Neurospora crassa OR74A: one gene and its partner. The protein of the gene in region 1 interacts with the protein of each later gene in a pairwise test. Links are inferred from orthologs where the notes say so. Each region holds a gene or a part of one and is shown in the gene's direction. Other genes may lie near its edges.

Region 1 (7,521 bases):
TGGTGGGGGAAATGGTCAAGGCCGGAGACCCTGGGAGGGGGCTGGCAGTGGTGATGGTGTAGCGGAAAATCGCAGTGATGGACGGAGGAGAAGAATCCATGAAAATGGTGAACCAGAACCAGCAACACCAGTGGGCCACTGCCTGGCTTGTGCTTCAGACGAGGCCCGCTTGCCCTCAACTCAATGCTTGCTCAGTCCCACTTTCTGATTGGTCAGTTTCGTTGGAAGCAACCTCCGAACTCAAGTGTGGGACCGCCACATAAAGGTTCCAGCTCCGTAATTACCGAAACCGAAATGTAACGCGTGTCTTGTGATCTGACCACTTCAATGATGTTCTCTTTCACTGGATGGTAGCGCCAGGAGGAAGCACACTTGCCTAATCCAGTCCGATGGGCGCTGTCACGATCCTTGCCCGTTTTGCTCACAACGCACGAATTTCAGTTGTGTGACGAAGATCTGTAAGATCAATGTTTCTTGTAAGTTTGGGTTTGGAAAGAACGAATAACAGGACACAAACCCAACGCGGCTCGAGCCTGGTCGGATATCATTGCTGGAGCTTGCCAGCTCGTTGGTTGCCCACTCCGATCGTACCCTTCCAGACGGCGTGGGCGGTGTGAGGCAGGCGAGAGCGGGCGATTCCCGATTCAATTGCTTGGAGGTATGTATGGTTATGACCGCTCAGCTATCAGGTTATACAACACTGGAAGAAGTTCAAGGATGGAATGTGGTTGATATAACAACAAATGATTCAGAGAAGTGTTGTTGTCGGTTGATGGCACATCGACTGTGTACCGGTGCGACTTGGGAATCAACAAGGTGGGAAAGATGGAAGATGGACGACAAGCTGAGAATACTCCCGGTACGTGGACGTCGCCCGGTTTTTCTAGGTAGGCATGCTGGCGTCGAAGGGGTTTTCTTTGTCAGCTCCGGTGCAGGTGCCAGCCATGCACTGGTCTCTCCTGGTGCTTCACTTCAACTTGGTACACCGCGAGCACCGGCACCAAGGTGATTTGGATGATTTCCCGCCACTGGAGCTCCGGCTCGAAGAGAACCTACTGCGAGCCGACGCAGGCAAACCCAGGCAGGCAGTCAGGACGACAACATCTTGTAGGTGATTGTGCGGGGCCACCTCTATTTAACCCATTCCACAAACGTAATCCGAGAGCCTCCAAAAGTGTCAAAGAGAAACAGATATACCTAATCAAAGATTTTATCCTCGTCTCATGCCTATCCGACCAAAGAAATACCAGTCCTAAACTCCCTTCAGATTATGAGTATGTCCAAGTGGGTATGGTAGAGGCACCGCTTCCCTGGCGCAGCTGGAGCAGATCCGTCCAGGACGATGGATCCACACGATCCCGTGCTGCTGGGGCCACCAGCCTTCCTTGACTGCCAACATTGACCTCTGTCGGCAACTATCTTCAACGTCTTGATGCCGATGTCATTTCTGCCTCGACAACATGTGGAATAGACTGCTATCAGAGTAGATTGGTTGTGAGTCACTGCCCGGCCGGGGCGCAGGAAACATATGTCGACAGGCAGCCAGAGCTCTGTTCGGAAGTCCGGTTTGATGTCAGTAACCCTGCGCCTCTCTGCATCGTGATCGTTGACGGCATCCGTGATGCTGCGAGTGATTTCCTTAAACGATACGGTTGTGGGAGGAGTCCGAGCGCTTCTAGTTGTCAACCCTAACTAGGTAACTATGCACATCCTCCTACCGAGCGTCATGATCAAGCTTGATGTCGTCGGCCATACAAGTACTCCCCTCCAAACAAACAATACGCTGCCATTGACGCATTATCTTTAGCCGAGGGAGTACTAGATATTAACGCTCACTTGTGAAGGATGGGTCGGATCTGTTCATCCACGGAGGAAACTATCATCACCTGGACAGAGAAAGTGGCAATATCAATGAAACTGTCTAGTCATCATCATCCGCATTATAGTCGTCCATTGGAAGCGATGACCATGTATTCGGGAAAATAGGCGATGTAAGGCTGTGTTCAGCAGATCTCGGATCTGTTTTGGCTGATAATGAGCACAAACTGACTTCAGCAAGACATTAAGTACACGCCCATGATTAACCAACTCTCCACGATGCCACTTGGGTCACTGTAAGAATCTTTGGGCAGAAGTTGTCCTGAAATGAAGGGGAGATCAATGGGAAGCGGAAACAGAACAAAGGACAGAGGAACAATAGTAAAAGTGGAACCCAATGTGGACGACCACTTGCGTGAACATCAGCTAGATACTTGGTGCAACCGCAATGATAGGATAGTAGAAGCTCCTGTCATGTTATGGAATTCTGAGACAGAAATCATGGGGTGGACTGAGAGTTCAGCCCGACTGGGGAGATGGAATTTAGGTACCTACTACTTATATGGAGGGTCGTTACATACCTACAAAAAGTGCACACGGGGCACCTAAGGCAAGCAATGACAGCGAAACAGGAACAGTGGGCTTTCACCTGGCATTAGATACCAAGGTAAAGTTGGTACCTTTAAGAGGTAACCTATCAACCGTGGCACATTTCAGCTTACACCTCTTTTGTAGCTCCAACCCTGCTACCATGTTGGTACATAGCGTTGCGGGGCTAGAGGTACCTAAGTAGGAAGCCCGACGACCTACCTTACTTCACATCAGGGCAAGCGGGGTCTTTTTTTTTTACGATCCGCCCTGCCACCAGACTCGGCGCACGGTGCAGCGGTCTCGACATTTTTTGAGACGAGGGAACTGACATTGTCCACAACCCAGGCGTCGACCCACGTTGCCTCTGGAGAAACTTAAGAGTGTCAGCCTCCTCCGCCTTGTTTGGCCCTCTCCACTCTGCTCGTAGTATTCCGAGACGTGCGGCATCTTGAGAATTTCTCCCCCTCCCCCATTTCCCGCTTTGCGCCTAGGATAGCGGTCCGCCCACAGTCACCCATCTCGATCAGTCCGCAGAGCGAAATCACAGACAAGATGTCGGACAAACTCACTCGGTGCGTTTACGATCCCAAGGCCGCACGCGTGTGTGCTCTGCTTGTAGAAGCATCGGCCGATACTGGCTTGTGCTGGTCTGGCTGTATGCGCTGTCTGGCTTCCACCTTGCTGACCTCGCCTGTTTCGTATCTGTAGTATCGCTATCGTTAGTAGCGACAAGTGCAAGCCCAAGAAGTGTCGCCAGGAATGCAAGAAGTCATGCCCTGTTGTGCGCTCCGGTAAACTCTGTGTAAGCTTCCCTCTTCTCCATAGTCCTCGTGCGGTAACAAGACCAAACAGCTAACTGCTCTCTAACAGATCGAGGTAAGATCTCTCCGGACCCCTTGCGATCCCCGTGTTTTGCGCGACAACACCCTCCTGACATCCGATATCTAGGTGTCTCCCGAGTCGCGCATCGCCTTCATCTCCGAACAGCTGTGCATTGGTTGTGGTATCTGCCCCAAGCGCTGCCCCTTCGGCGCCATCACCATTATCAACCTGCCCACCAACCTCGAGAGCCAGATCACCCATCGCTATGCCGCCAACAGCTTCAAGCTCCACCGTCTTCCCATGCCCCGTCCCGGCAACGTCTTGGGTCTTGTCGGAACGAACGGTATCGGCAAGAGTACCGCGCTCAAGATTCTCTCCGGAAAGCTTAAGCCCAACCTGGGCAGGTACGACAACCCGCCTGACTGGGAGGACGTCATCAAGTACTTCCGCGGTTCTGAGTTGCAGAGTAAGGAATACGGCTCACCTTGGAAGGAGATCAGAGGATTGACAAATCGCAGACTACTTCACCAAGCTGCTCGAGGATGACCTGAAGGCTGTTGTCAAGCCCCAGTACGTCGACCAGATCCCCAAGGCCATCCGCACCCCCGACAAGAGCGTCAAGTTCCTGATTGAGGGCCGCCGCTCTCTCGATAACCTTGACGAGGTTCTCGACACCCTTGGTAGGTTCCACATGCTTTGCGCTTTGTGATTTGCTTATTTGGACGCCCTGGCTGATCTTGAATAGAGTTGCGCCACATCTACGACCGTGATGTTACCCTCCTTTCCGGTGGTGAGCTCCAGCGTTTCGCCATCGGTACCGTTTGCGTTCAGAAGGCCGATGTCTACATGTTCGACGAGCCTTCCTCGTATCTCGATGTCAAGCAAAGATTGAGTGCCGCCCGCATCATTCGCTCTCTCCTCCGGCCCGACGACTACGTCATTGTCGTCGAGCACGATTTGTCTGTCCTCGACTACCTCTCCGATTACGTCTGCTGTCTTTACGGTCAGCCCGCCGTATACGGTGTCGTCACCCTCCCTCACTCCGTCCGTGAAGGCATCAACATTTTCCTCGATGGTCACATCCCTACTGAGAACTTGCGTTTCCGTGACGAGAGCTTGACCTTCCGCATTGCCGAAGGCACTGAGGAGTTCATCCAGGAAAAGTCGCGCGCCTTCAAGTACCCTGCCATGGAGAAGACCATGGGCAACTTCCACCTGTCCATCGACGCCGGTTCTTTCTCTGATTCCGAGATTATCGTCATGATGGGTGAGAACGGTACTGGAAAGACCACCTTCTGCCGTCTTTTGGCCGGTGTTCTTAAGCCTGACGGCACCAAGAGGGTTCCCGAGATGAAGATCTCCATGAAGCCCCAGACCATCACTCCCAAGTTCGAGGGTACCGTTCGCCAGCTGTTCTTCAAGAAGATCAAGGCTGCTTTCTTGTCTCCTCAGTTCCAGACTGACGTCGTCAAGCCTCTGAAGCTTGATGATTTCATTGACCAGGAAGTCAAGCATCTGTCCGGTGGTGAACTGCAAAGAGTTGCCATTGTTCTTGCTCTCGGTATTCCTGCTGATATCTACCTCATCGATGAGCCTTCTGCCTGTACGTGAACCTCTTTCCCACCCCCTTAAGATGCATTTCTAACCGTCTTCCAGATCTCGACTCCGAGCAACGTATCATTGCCTCCCGTGTTATCAAGCGTTTCATTATGCACGCCAAGAAGACTGCCTTCATCGTCGAGCACGATTTCATCATGGCCACTTACCTTGCCGACCGTGTTATTGTCTTTGATGGCAAGCCTGGTATCGACGCTCACGCCAACAAGCCCGAGTCTTTGCTTACTGGCTGCAACACCTTTTTGAAGAACCTTGATGTCACTTTCCGCCGTGATCCTACCAACTATCGCCCTCGCATCAACAAGCTGAACTCTCAGCTTGACCAGGAGCAGAAGCTCAGTGGCAACTACGTAAGTTTTGTTTCTGTTTCAATTTGGAAAAGTTCTCCCATCCTGCGACCTCATACTAACATTGCTTTCCCCTATAGTTCTTCTTGGACGATCCCGAGAAGAGCAGTTAAAGACGGTGTCTCCAATGATGTTCTTCCCAAGAATAATAAGACTAGCGGCAGAGGCAACAATACTAAACGCCCCCGTCGTTGTTATGATGATGCATCGGATTCCGGCGTTCTAGGCGTCCAAAAAGAAAATGGCAGTTCCTCCATTCATTGCGGCGCCGGGGATGGTAGCGGTAGCGGCGGCGGCGGTTCTGGTTCTGATCTCGAAACTGTCTCTTCCTCTTCCTCTGAGGACGACGCGCCGAATGATTAACCCCGGCGGCGGCAGTCAGTTCCCTGTTGCCTGGTCCTACGAAAAGAGAGAGATATACCCCTCCGTCACATGTTTTGTGAGAAAGTTTGCGCTGTCTTTTTGGTTTTGGTGAAACCCTTGCTTGAGGGTTGACTACAACAGCGGACGGGGGGAAACCACCAACCTGGATTGGAACTTTTTGTAGATTGAGGGGCAACGGGTCAAGCAGGGCGACTGCCGCCGGAACTCTCAGAACCAAGTGGTTGTTTTGAGGGGACCAAAGCACAAAGAATGGATTAAGGGGAGGTTTGCAAGAGAGGCGATTGACCTGACTAGTTGATGAATACATATTGAATTTCAAGTGGGAATATCTGAATTGTTTTTGTACACATACACATATATGAACTGCATCCATTCAAGTTGTGGTATCGCGCTTCTCTTGCCGCCGAGCAAGCATTCTTCAGGACGAGAAACGCCTCGTCCCTTATGTACTGCGCTGCGAGGACAAAGGCAGAGGCGATTCTAGATCAGACAAAGTACCATCCCGGCGCGCGAACTACGAAAGACTCCCAAAAGCCCAAAGACAGATTCATCTTACCCCTTGGTCTTGTTCACGCTTTCCCAAGCCGCAACCCTCCTTCATGACAGTAGCACATGCTACCCAACCCGCATGACTGACTTATAGCGGCTGTTCGATGATGCAAATTGGGGGGGAACTCAATAATCTAACACTTCCTTTACACTGCCGCCACCACATAAGTATTTCTGGTATTGTACCTACCGTAGAAACAGGATTGGCAAACCTCTACTGCCAGAAAACCAGGTTATCTGGGCGTGAGCAGAATAAGCACAGTCCTGTAAGGCTCACGTCCGGCTTCCTGTACAGAAATGTGTGCATGTGTGTGTGTTAAGGTGGAGGAGAGCCATATTCTCTGGTCGGGCGGGGGCTTGTCAACTCGGCCTTTTTGACTGTAGGTACCACTGCACTTACTACATTCAAAAACTGGGCCAGTAGAGCACATTCTTTCTGTACGTATGCTGCCTAGGTACCTGCCTCCTATGCTTACTTACTGTCAGGCGCCCAAAGAGGGATAGGATAGTCTTTTACCAATCTGGCGCGAGTTTCTACGGTAGATGACAGGTCGGTCAGACGGACGGACGGACGGACGGTGTCCAGGCGCTGAAGCCGAGGTAGGTATTCTCTCAGCAGTTGCCATGCTGCAACACTCGTACTCATAGCTCGCCTTAGGTAGGCAGTACGGAGGCAGTTGATTTCATGGTTGAAGGGGCGTCTGAATAACAAGCCTTTCTAGTTCGATCGCGATCACGGAGTGTGACATTATTACAAGACTGGAAGGAAGGAGACAAAATATCTTGATCCCGTAAGTAGCGCGGCCAAGCCATCCATGCCATCCAAATGTGCTGGCTTGTTTATCTCTTTGTTAGCTTGATACTCTTGCTATTTGGGACCAGATCGATCCTGAGCTAATCTTTGAACCCTTGCACCTGAGTTGGAATATTTCAAGACAGGTCAGGTCAAACTTAATTCATGGATCGATCGGTGCGCATGAACCGGATCTGACAGCGCCTAGGAAAGTTGACCCAAAAAGTATCGAGCTATCAAAACAAAACAAAACTAGTCTTGGACTGTGTGATTGAGTTTGTTCCATCCTCATCTGGACAAAGTTCGTCTAGGCCGGCTTACATTAGTGCTTCAAAAATACTTAGCTACCACGGGAGCTAAACGATTCTGGACATGGAGTGTGATACGATGAAGCAGGGAGCAGTGAGGATGATCAAAACGAGACGACAGAGAGATGGGCGAAGCAATTTGTACTTGCTCGATTTTTGAACCTTGTTTGTGCTATTGTTGCTACATGATCTTTCGTGGCTGTAGTTTCTTCCCAGGTTCCTTTCATGGTTTTGGGGGTTCCCAATTTTTTTCCCCTTCATTTTTCCAGTTTTCCCAAAAAAAAATTTATCG
Region 2 (7,224 bases), on another chromosome or scaffold:
GTTTGTTATTGCTAGATATAGTTGATCATGAGAGATCAACGACCTTCGGAGTGAAGATCCGAAACAAGTACACACCTTGAAACAGTGAACTGCTGCACAGAGAGAAGAACCCAGTATCTTTTTTACCAAAACGCCAGAAACAGCAAAGAGAGTGGGGGGTATCTAGTGTAACACGCATAATACAACAACTTGGTCCAAAAACGCCTGGCTTCATGAACCCAAACCACAACCATCTGTCAAGACCTTCCGCCCAAGATCAACCGATGACCTCCGCCCTTTCAAATCCCGTCGGCTTCAAAGCCGGATTGACCGGTCTCCTCCCGCCCTCGCCCTCCTTATAGTCGCTCACAAACGGATTCGGATCCTCCTTCTGGTCCAAATTGCTCAATGTATGATTAACGCCCCTGTGCACTGCCTCGTCCGCGCGGATATAATGGATCAAGTCCTTCATCGTCCGCTTCCCCTCCGGCATGCGCCAATACCTCACCGCCATCTCCGGGATCTCAAACTTTTCGTCGCTCCACTTTGGCAAGTGACCTTCCTCAATCTCCCTGATGCACCGCGTGTAGGTATGTACGGCCTCCTCCTCGAGGTAACCGACAAACCGGTGGGTGATTTTGGGGGAGATCAGGTAGCTGAGAAACATGGCGTTGAAGAAGACGCCCTGCGCTCCCAAGATGAGCGTCTTCATGAGGAGGCCGGGTTCGCACATCTTCATAAAGGTGAGGAGGTGCATGCGCTCGTTGTACGATTCTTCAAGTAAAGTCTCGATCCAGCCGTTGTCTCGTTTGAGCCGGCGGAGGGAGTGCAGGTGGCGGAGCATGCCGGCTACCATGCCGGGAACGCCGGCGATGGATTCGAGGAAGATGAAGCGGACGAGCTATATGGATTTGCGACATTTGGTTAGCTTGTGTTGCCATTCCGTCCTCGTAGGGCTCCATAGAACATACCCATTGGGCTTCGGTCAGAGGTTTGTCCGCGCTGGTGGCGGTCGTCGGGTGGTGTTTATCAACTTGCTGCTCTGGACGTATGCCCGTCGCTATATCAGTGGCCCATCTGTTTGATATTAGAACACTTTGAATCTACGTCTGCTTCCGCGTCCGCAAGATACTTGAGGGGCAATATGGGAACCCTCCTTGGAATTTACCTACCGACAGATTCGTACGAGTTTCCATGCGAGCCAATCGCCCACAGTCTCGGGTTTCCGGTGCTCGGGAACAACCGAGGTCATCTCTTCCTCTGTCCATCCATGATGAGGCCACGCGGGTGGTGTCTGCCGGATATAGGCGGTCTCTTTGGCCGGGAAGAAATCCTTCAGTCGAGTAACGCTTGTTGTCGAGAGATTGCGAGGTGATGGGGAAGAGAGGTTCGTCTGTGTTGGATGTAAGGAAGTGGCCACTCGAGAGCCCGCGAGCAGGAGAGGCCGAGTATGGCAGGTTGATATCAGGGCACGGCTTAGTTGGGCCGCTTGTCCTGGAGCGTGGAGTATGTTTACTTTGGGGGTGTTCATCGAGAGTTTAGGGAGTGATGTGAAGTTGTAATGGAACTCGCTTGAGGTTTGTGATGATGGTCCATATGTGTCGGACAGCACTAGACACGGGACGTTTATATCGTCCTTTCCTGCCCCCAGTTGCAACTCCTTTCAGGGAAAAATTTGGAATACGAGAGCTGACTGAAAACACCGAGTTTGTCCGTCCCTGGTCTCAAAGGAGCAATAGAGTTCCGACACTGCCCAAGCAATCTCCATTTTTTAACATCAAGACAATCCAGGAACAAGCAAATAGCGGGCGCTAGCGAAAGGAACCCGGAAAGCTCCAGATCTTCAACCAGGACAAAATTTCATTTTGAATCCTCAAAGTGGCAACCGGGCATCGATTGTGGTGGTCAGCTGGATGTCGTTGTTTGGCGGTGTCGGGACCTCCCGGGTGACAAGCCATAGGGCGCAGTTCCACTTCCGCAACATTCTCGGGATTAGCCTTGTACATATCCAGAAGAACAGCGAGCCCCTGAGCAAGTACACTAAGACTGGGGGATTGTGACTCAACACAAAGACAGCCACAGGAGATTTCGAGATCATTGATAGTTGGTTGGTTGGTTGACAGGGCACTTGGGCGAGTTATGTGTTGGAGATTTTGCTGACAGTAATAGCGAGCGGAGGGAAACGGAACACCAGTCGCACTTGTTCTCATAGGACACACAGCATGACTGAGCAATGGCTTGGTTGCTTCCGAACCTGCAAATATACAAACAAATGTCTTGGGCCATAAGTTGCGAATGGCTTCATGTTAAACTTCTAACTTTGCTGTGACGTCAGTGGTAGTTATTCGTAGAGTGTAGGATCGAAGGAACAATTGCAAGTGTCCAAATATTATCCCGTGTCGGAAGCGGGGTGGAAGTGGTGTACAAAATATTGACGACGCAGGGCATTTTCGGGTGACTCCTGGTCCAGAACATTTGGTGAAAGAGCAGAGCTTTAGCATCCACCTAGTTGTTTATGAATCATTCTCTCCACATGCGTTAACAGACTTCTCCAAAAAGCCATCCTTCTAGGCCTGCTGCACCTAGCACATGCTGCTTGACCGAGGCCGTACATATATGGTGCATGCATCGTGCATATACAAGATGTCCTAAAAGATAAGAGAACGAAAAGAAAAGAAAAAGGGAAATAAAGACGGGCATGTTGGCGAACTGATGGTTTTTGTCAGGACTCAGCACCGACCCTGACTGACGGGCCCGTGCGACACAGCACTGACCCCGCATAAAGCCTTCTGGAGGGAAGGCATTGATATATACCAAAGATGGGAAGGAAGTGGTTATTCAGAAGGGATGGTAGCAAGCAAGACGTACGAGGAAGTCAGGTGCTTGGTAAAACATAAACGGGAGGAATAAATGGGGACGATTCCTGTGTATTGAAGACTAGCCGCCCCAGGCGTCTGGAGGTTCTGGTTTTCCTCCTCATCTTCATCGGGCATCTTCTCAATGAAATCCAATTGGTCACAAAGCCCTTTTCCCTGGCAGTTTTGGCATTGTATTAAAATCTTAGACGTTAAAGAACCTTGAAGAACCTGTGAAACGCTGTTGCTGTTTCACTGTTGGTCTTCTAACCCCGCTAACAATACCTAGTTATTTTGCCCACTGCGAACGGAACCACACTCAAGGTGGCTGACCCCTGCTCGCTTTTTCAACTTCTCAAGACTGCGATCGGCTTCTCTTTTGCAGTTTGGACACAACCAACCACAGCACGCAAACTTTTCCTCGTCGCGCCAGACATCGTTGTCGCAAAGACCCGTTCGGTTTTCTAGATCGTCACTACCAAATCGCAAACATGTCTGGAAAGAAGTGGGGTAAGTCTTCCTCGCTCTCCTTGCCTTTTCCCTCTTTGCGCAAGACGAACCCCGCGAACAGTGTATGTCGGCGAAAGTGGGCGGCCGCGATCGCCGTGACAAGGCTGCCTGATGCCTGCGCCGGCTTGCGATAGACGCTGTTAACATTGCCATATGCCTCGAGGCTTCCATGTTTGAGGCGAATTGGACTTCAGCGACGCAGCCTATATATACAGATCAACCAGAACCAACTCTTGCATCGACTTTCCTGTTGCGCCACCACAACCTGTTCGAAACCCAGACTAACTAACCCCTCATCACCACAGACGAGGAAGAGGAGGAGTCTTCCGCCCCCAACTCGCCTGTCCTTGCCCCCGGCCGCCGCCGCTTCGACGATGAGGAGGGAAACGAGAGCGACGTTCTCGACTCGTGGGATGCCGCCGAGGACTCCGAGGTAGAGCGCGAGAAGGCGAAGAAGGCCGCCGAGGCCAAGGCCAAGGCTGAGGCCGAAGCCGCCGCCAACAAGAAGTCCAAGGCGCAGCGCATCGCCGAGCGTCAGGCCGAGCGCGCCCGCCAGCTGGCTGAGGATTCGGACGCGGAGGAGGAGACCGAGGCCGAGCGCCGCGAGCGCCTCCGCCGCGAGCAGAAGGAGTCCGATCTTAAACACGCTGAGGACCTGTTTGCCGGCATCGGCATCAGCAACGACCGCAAGGTCGTCAGCAAGGGCACCATTGTCCAGATCGACCCCAAGGACCCCAACAACACCATCGACATCTCGACCTTGGCCTTGTTCAACCCTACCACCAAGACCCAGTTTGAGACCCTCCGCACCACTCTTGGCCCCATGATCGGCAAGCTCTCGCCCAAGCCGCACTACACCCTCTTCCTCCAGGAGTTCTCCAAGCAGCTCGCCAAGGACCTCAAGAGCGACGAGATCAAGAAGATTGCTAGCACCTTGACTGCTCTCAGCAACGAGAAGCTCAAGGAGGAGAAGGCTGCCGAAAAGGGTGGCAAGAAGAGCAAGGCTGCCAAGACAAAGACCTCGCTCGCTGGTGTTGGTCGTGGTGGTGCCATTGCTGAGGCCCACGACACTTATGATGATGATGCTTTCGGAGAGTAAGTTGGCTTGAGGTGGAGTGAGAAAAGATACGCGTGGGGAACGATTGCTAACGTTTCGCTCTAGTGATGACTTCATGTGAAAGATTTCTACCGATAAATCACAATCGTTCGCTTTGTGAGGAAGAGAGGCCTCGAGTCCCTCTTCCCATCAAGGGATGTAGAATCATCCCCTTCACCAGGTATAATACTCATCTCACCCGGGAAGCATTCGGAGCGAAGCAAAAAAGTAGCGGTTGCGTGTGTTTCATGGCGTAAAAAGAAAGCGTAGACTACCACGACACCCGCGCAACGGTCACGGCACGTCCGCCGTCCGGACGTAAGGTTCAGTGGCATGATGTCTTGGATGGATGCATGAGGGATCAGAGTCGTCATCAGTGCCAGACTGGACGAAAAAAGGAGGATGGCCTCTTGGGGCACTGATCGAGTCGCGACTTGGGGGTGACGGGAAAAGGCAGCAGATACCATATAGCATGGGGGAAAGTAGATTTAGAGTGCATTCAATAATGAAGGCGAGCATCACGTTTCGAAAGTCCAGGCTGCATATCATCCTGGTGTGAGGTTCTCTTATCGATGCCATGGCTAAAATTACAACCAACACTATTTCAGTCACCATCTCAGAACCCTCTCAGAAACTTACACCAGTGAACAGGTGATATTTCCCGACCATGAACACCATGTGAACTTTTCAGACAATGTTGCTGTACCCTAATCAAAACACTTAAAACTCCGATCGCGATGTTGATCTGCCCTGAGCAACCATCATCACTGACAACAAAACCAGGGCACACAAAACACCTCGCCTCCCGCATTCATATGATTCCAGCCAGTAATTCGATCCGTCCGGGTCATTAAGAGCGTAAACCAGTTTCAAATCCCCTCCCTCCTGTTCATAACCATAACCTGCCTGCCTGCCTGCCTGCCTGTCTGTTCCTTCGAGCTCCTGTTTTTCAGAGCCATATAAGTATGTTTGATGTATGTATAGTACAGTGAAATACCGCTTGGAAAGGTATGGTAACCCCCTCACGGTAAAGTAAAGTAGAGAAGAGAGAGAGAAAAAAGGATAGTACAACACAACCCCATATCGTCACAAAACAAGACTTTTCCTCTACCCGCCTGATAAAATACAGGCAAAAGTCTATAATCGTCAGTGTCATATCCAATGACGGCTCACATCAAGTCTCCCGCCACGCCAGCCAGCAACGCATGTACCACGAGACTGACCGTCCACAGTCCCACGCGCTTGAATCTCCTCACCCTACTTTGCTGATCCTCTACGTTTCTGGCAAAAGCACGGTACACCTCGGCGCTCATATCGTCCATCAGCCCACAGTCCCAAACGGTCCAAGCTCCGTCAAAGTCCGTCAGCCGCTTTACGATCCGGCAACTGATGGGGATGTAGGTGCGCTTGGCGTTGATGTAGGCGACGATGGGCCGTACTAGGGCTTGGTTCACGTAGCTCATGTGTGGGTTGTTGAACAGAGGGACAGCGGCGCGGACGTCGTTGAGGTGGATGCGAAGGTCCATGACTAGATAGGAGGGAGTTTCTTCAATCGGGGCTGGCTCTTTGGGAGTCGCGGGAGGGATCAAGGGGGGGAAGTGCTGCTCCGAGGTGGGGAGCTCGTCGTGGTGGCCGGTGAGGTCGATGTCAGAGGCAGATTCCGGAATTGGCCCGCTTTCGAGGGTGGGGCTGTTGGTGTTGCTTCGGCTGTTGGGAGAAATGTTGCCGTCTAGAATCTTGAGGTAGCGGTTGCTGGTTACGGCTTCTTCCATTTTGTCGTAAAACTCGGCGACAACCTTGCTTAGACCCTCCTCAGGATCCGCAGGGAACATGATGTCGGCAATCATATCGACGTTGCCTTCGTAAATCCAGCCAAACGGTCCTTCTACACCGCGGTTCAAGTGGTCAATCTTCAGCCCATCAATCCGTAGTCGGGAGAACTTCTTCCAGGCCGAGGGAGAACCGAACTCGTCTTGGTGGTGACGGCCGTTATCTGCTGCGGACACACCGTGGATCTGTCTGGGATGAATGGTGAATAGTGATCCATCGAATGATCCGGACATGTGATTTGCTGACAAAAAGTCATAAAACAGCCATTGTTTTCGTAGCTGAGGCAGCTCGCAGGAGAAGATGGAAACGGAAAAGGGCCGGAAACCGCCCGGTTGGTGGACGGTGACCAGCAAGTCTTCCATCTTGAAGTGATCCAGTTCAAAGTCGCCAGGGTTATGTTCCTGTCTGAAGTCAAGGGGGTTGAGGTCCTCGTTGCCCCAGACAACCGAAGTCCTGTCAACAACGCCTCGAACACCCTTTATTTCGACGTCTTTGAGGAGACCCTTTCCGTTCCACCATTTGAGGAAAGATAAAGCCACGTTCACGGTGTCTATAGTGACGTCAAACTGTGTGTAATTGCCATCGTCCTCTTCCACGGCAGTGCCTTCTTGCTCGGCGGCTTGTTTAGCAGCAGCAGCTTCGGCCGCAGCTTCGGAAGAACCCTTCTTGACGGAAGACTTGGGCTGACCAGGTCTCCGAGAAACGAAAACATTGCGGAAAGTGATGACACCATCTCCCCATTTGGGCACAATAGCCGACTCGAAGACAACAGTAAGGCCAGCAGATTGGGTCAGGTAGTCTCCGATCCACTTGGCCAGCGTTTCCTGGGCAAACACCGTGTTGATAAAGAGGATGATGAGGGAGAAGAAGGTAGTTGTGCCAACAAGAATCCAGACCAAATGACCGAATAAGAAGAAGGACACAAACGCTCCCCATTCGTCGGCGTTCCAGGGG

Evidence for each region.
Region 2: the proteins of NCU03061 (region 1) and NCU07954 interact in binary tests that used the Saccharomyces cerevisiae proteins (3 or more experiments, as listed by UniProt). The link is inferred for Neurospora crassa OR74A from reciprocal best matches to the Saccharomyces cerevisiae genes RLI1 and HCR1.

Annotation. Positions count from the first base shown.
Region 1 is NC_026501.1:4,384,065-4,391,585, forward strand, and holds NCU03061 (translation initiation factor RLI1), read left to right. Parts: upstream 1-2,677; 5' UTR 2,678-2,961; coding exon 2,962-2,981; intron 2,982-3,117; coding exon 3,118-3,211; intron 3,212-3,279; coding exon 3,280-3,285; intron 3,286-3,357; coding exon 3,358-3,697; intron 3,698-3,749; coding exon 3,750-3,911; intron 3,912-3,976; coding exon 3,977-4,834; intron 4,835-4,887; coding exon 4,888-5,198; intron 5,199-5,275; coding exon 5,276-5,308; 3' UTR 5,309-6,004; downstream 6,005-7,521. UniProt on the Saccharomyces cerevisiae protein: Component of the multifactor complex (MFC) involved in translation initiation. Required for the binding of MFC to the 40S ribosome. Required for the processing and nuclear export of the 60S and 40S ribosomal subunits.
Region 2 is NC_026504.1:1,229,799-1,237,022, reverse strand, and holds the start of NCU07954 (hypothetical protein), read left to right. Parts: upstream 1-3,081; 5' UTR 3,082-3,325; coding exon 3,326-3,344; intron 3,345-3,649; coding exon 3,650-4,439; intron 4,440-4,506; coding exon 4,507-4,522; 3' UTR 4,523-5,609; coding exon of another isoform or gene 5,610-7,224. Other genes in the region: aod-1 (alternative oxidase), read right to left, coding at 257-880, 951-1,056, 1,152-1,510; pod-1 (mitochondrion biogenesis protein), read right to left, coding at 5,610-7,224. UniProt on the Saccharomyces cerevisiae protein: Component of the eukaryotic translation initiation factor 3 (eIF-3) complex, which is involved in protein synthesis of a specialized repertoire of mRNAs and, together with other initiation factors, stimulates binding of mRNA and methionyl-tRNAi to the 40S ribosome.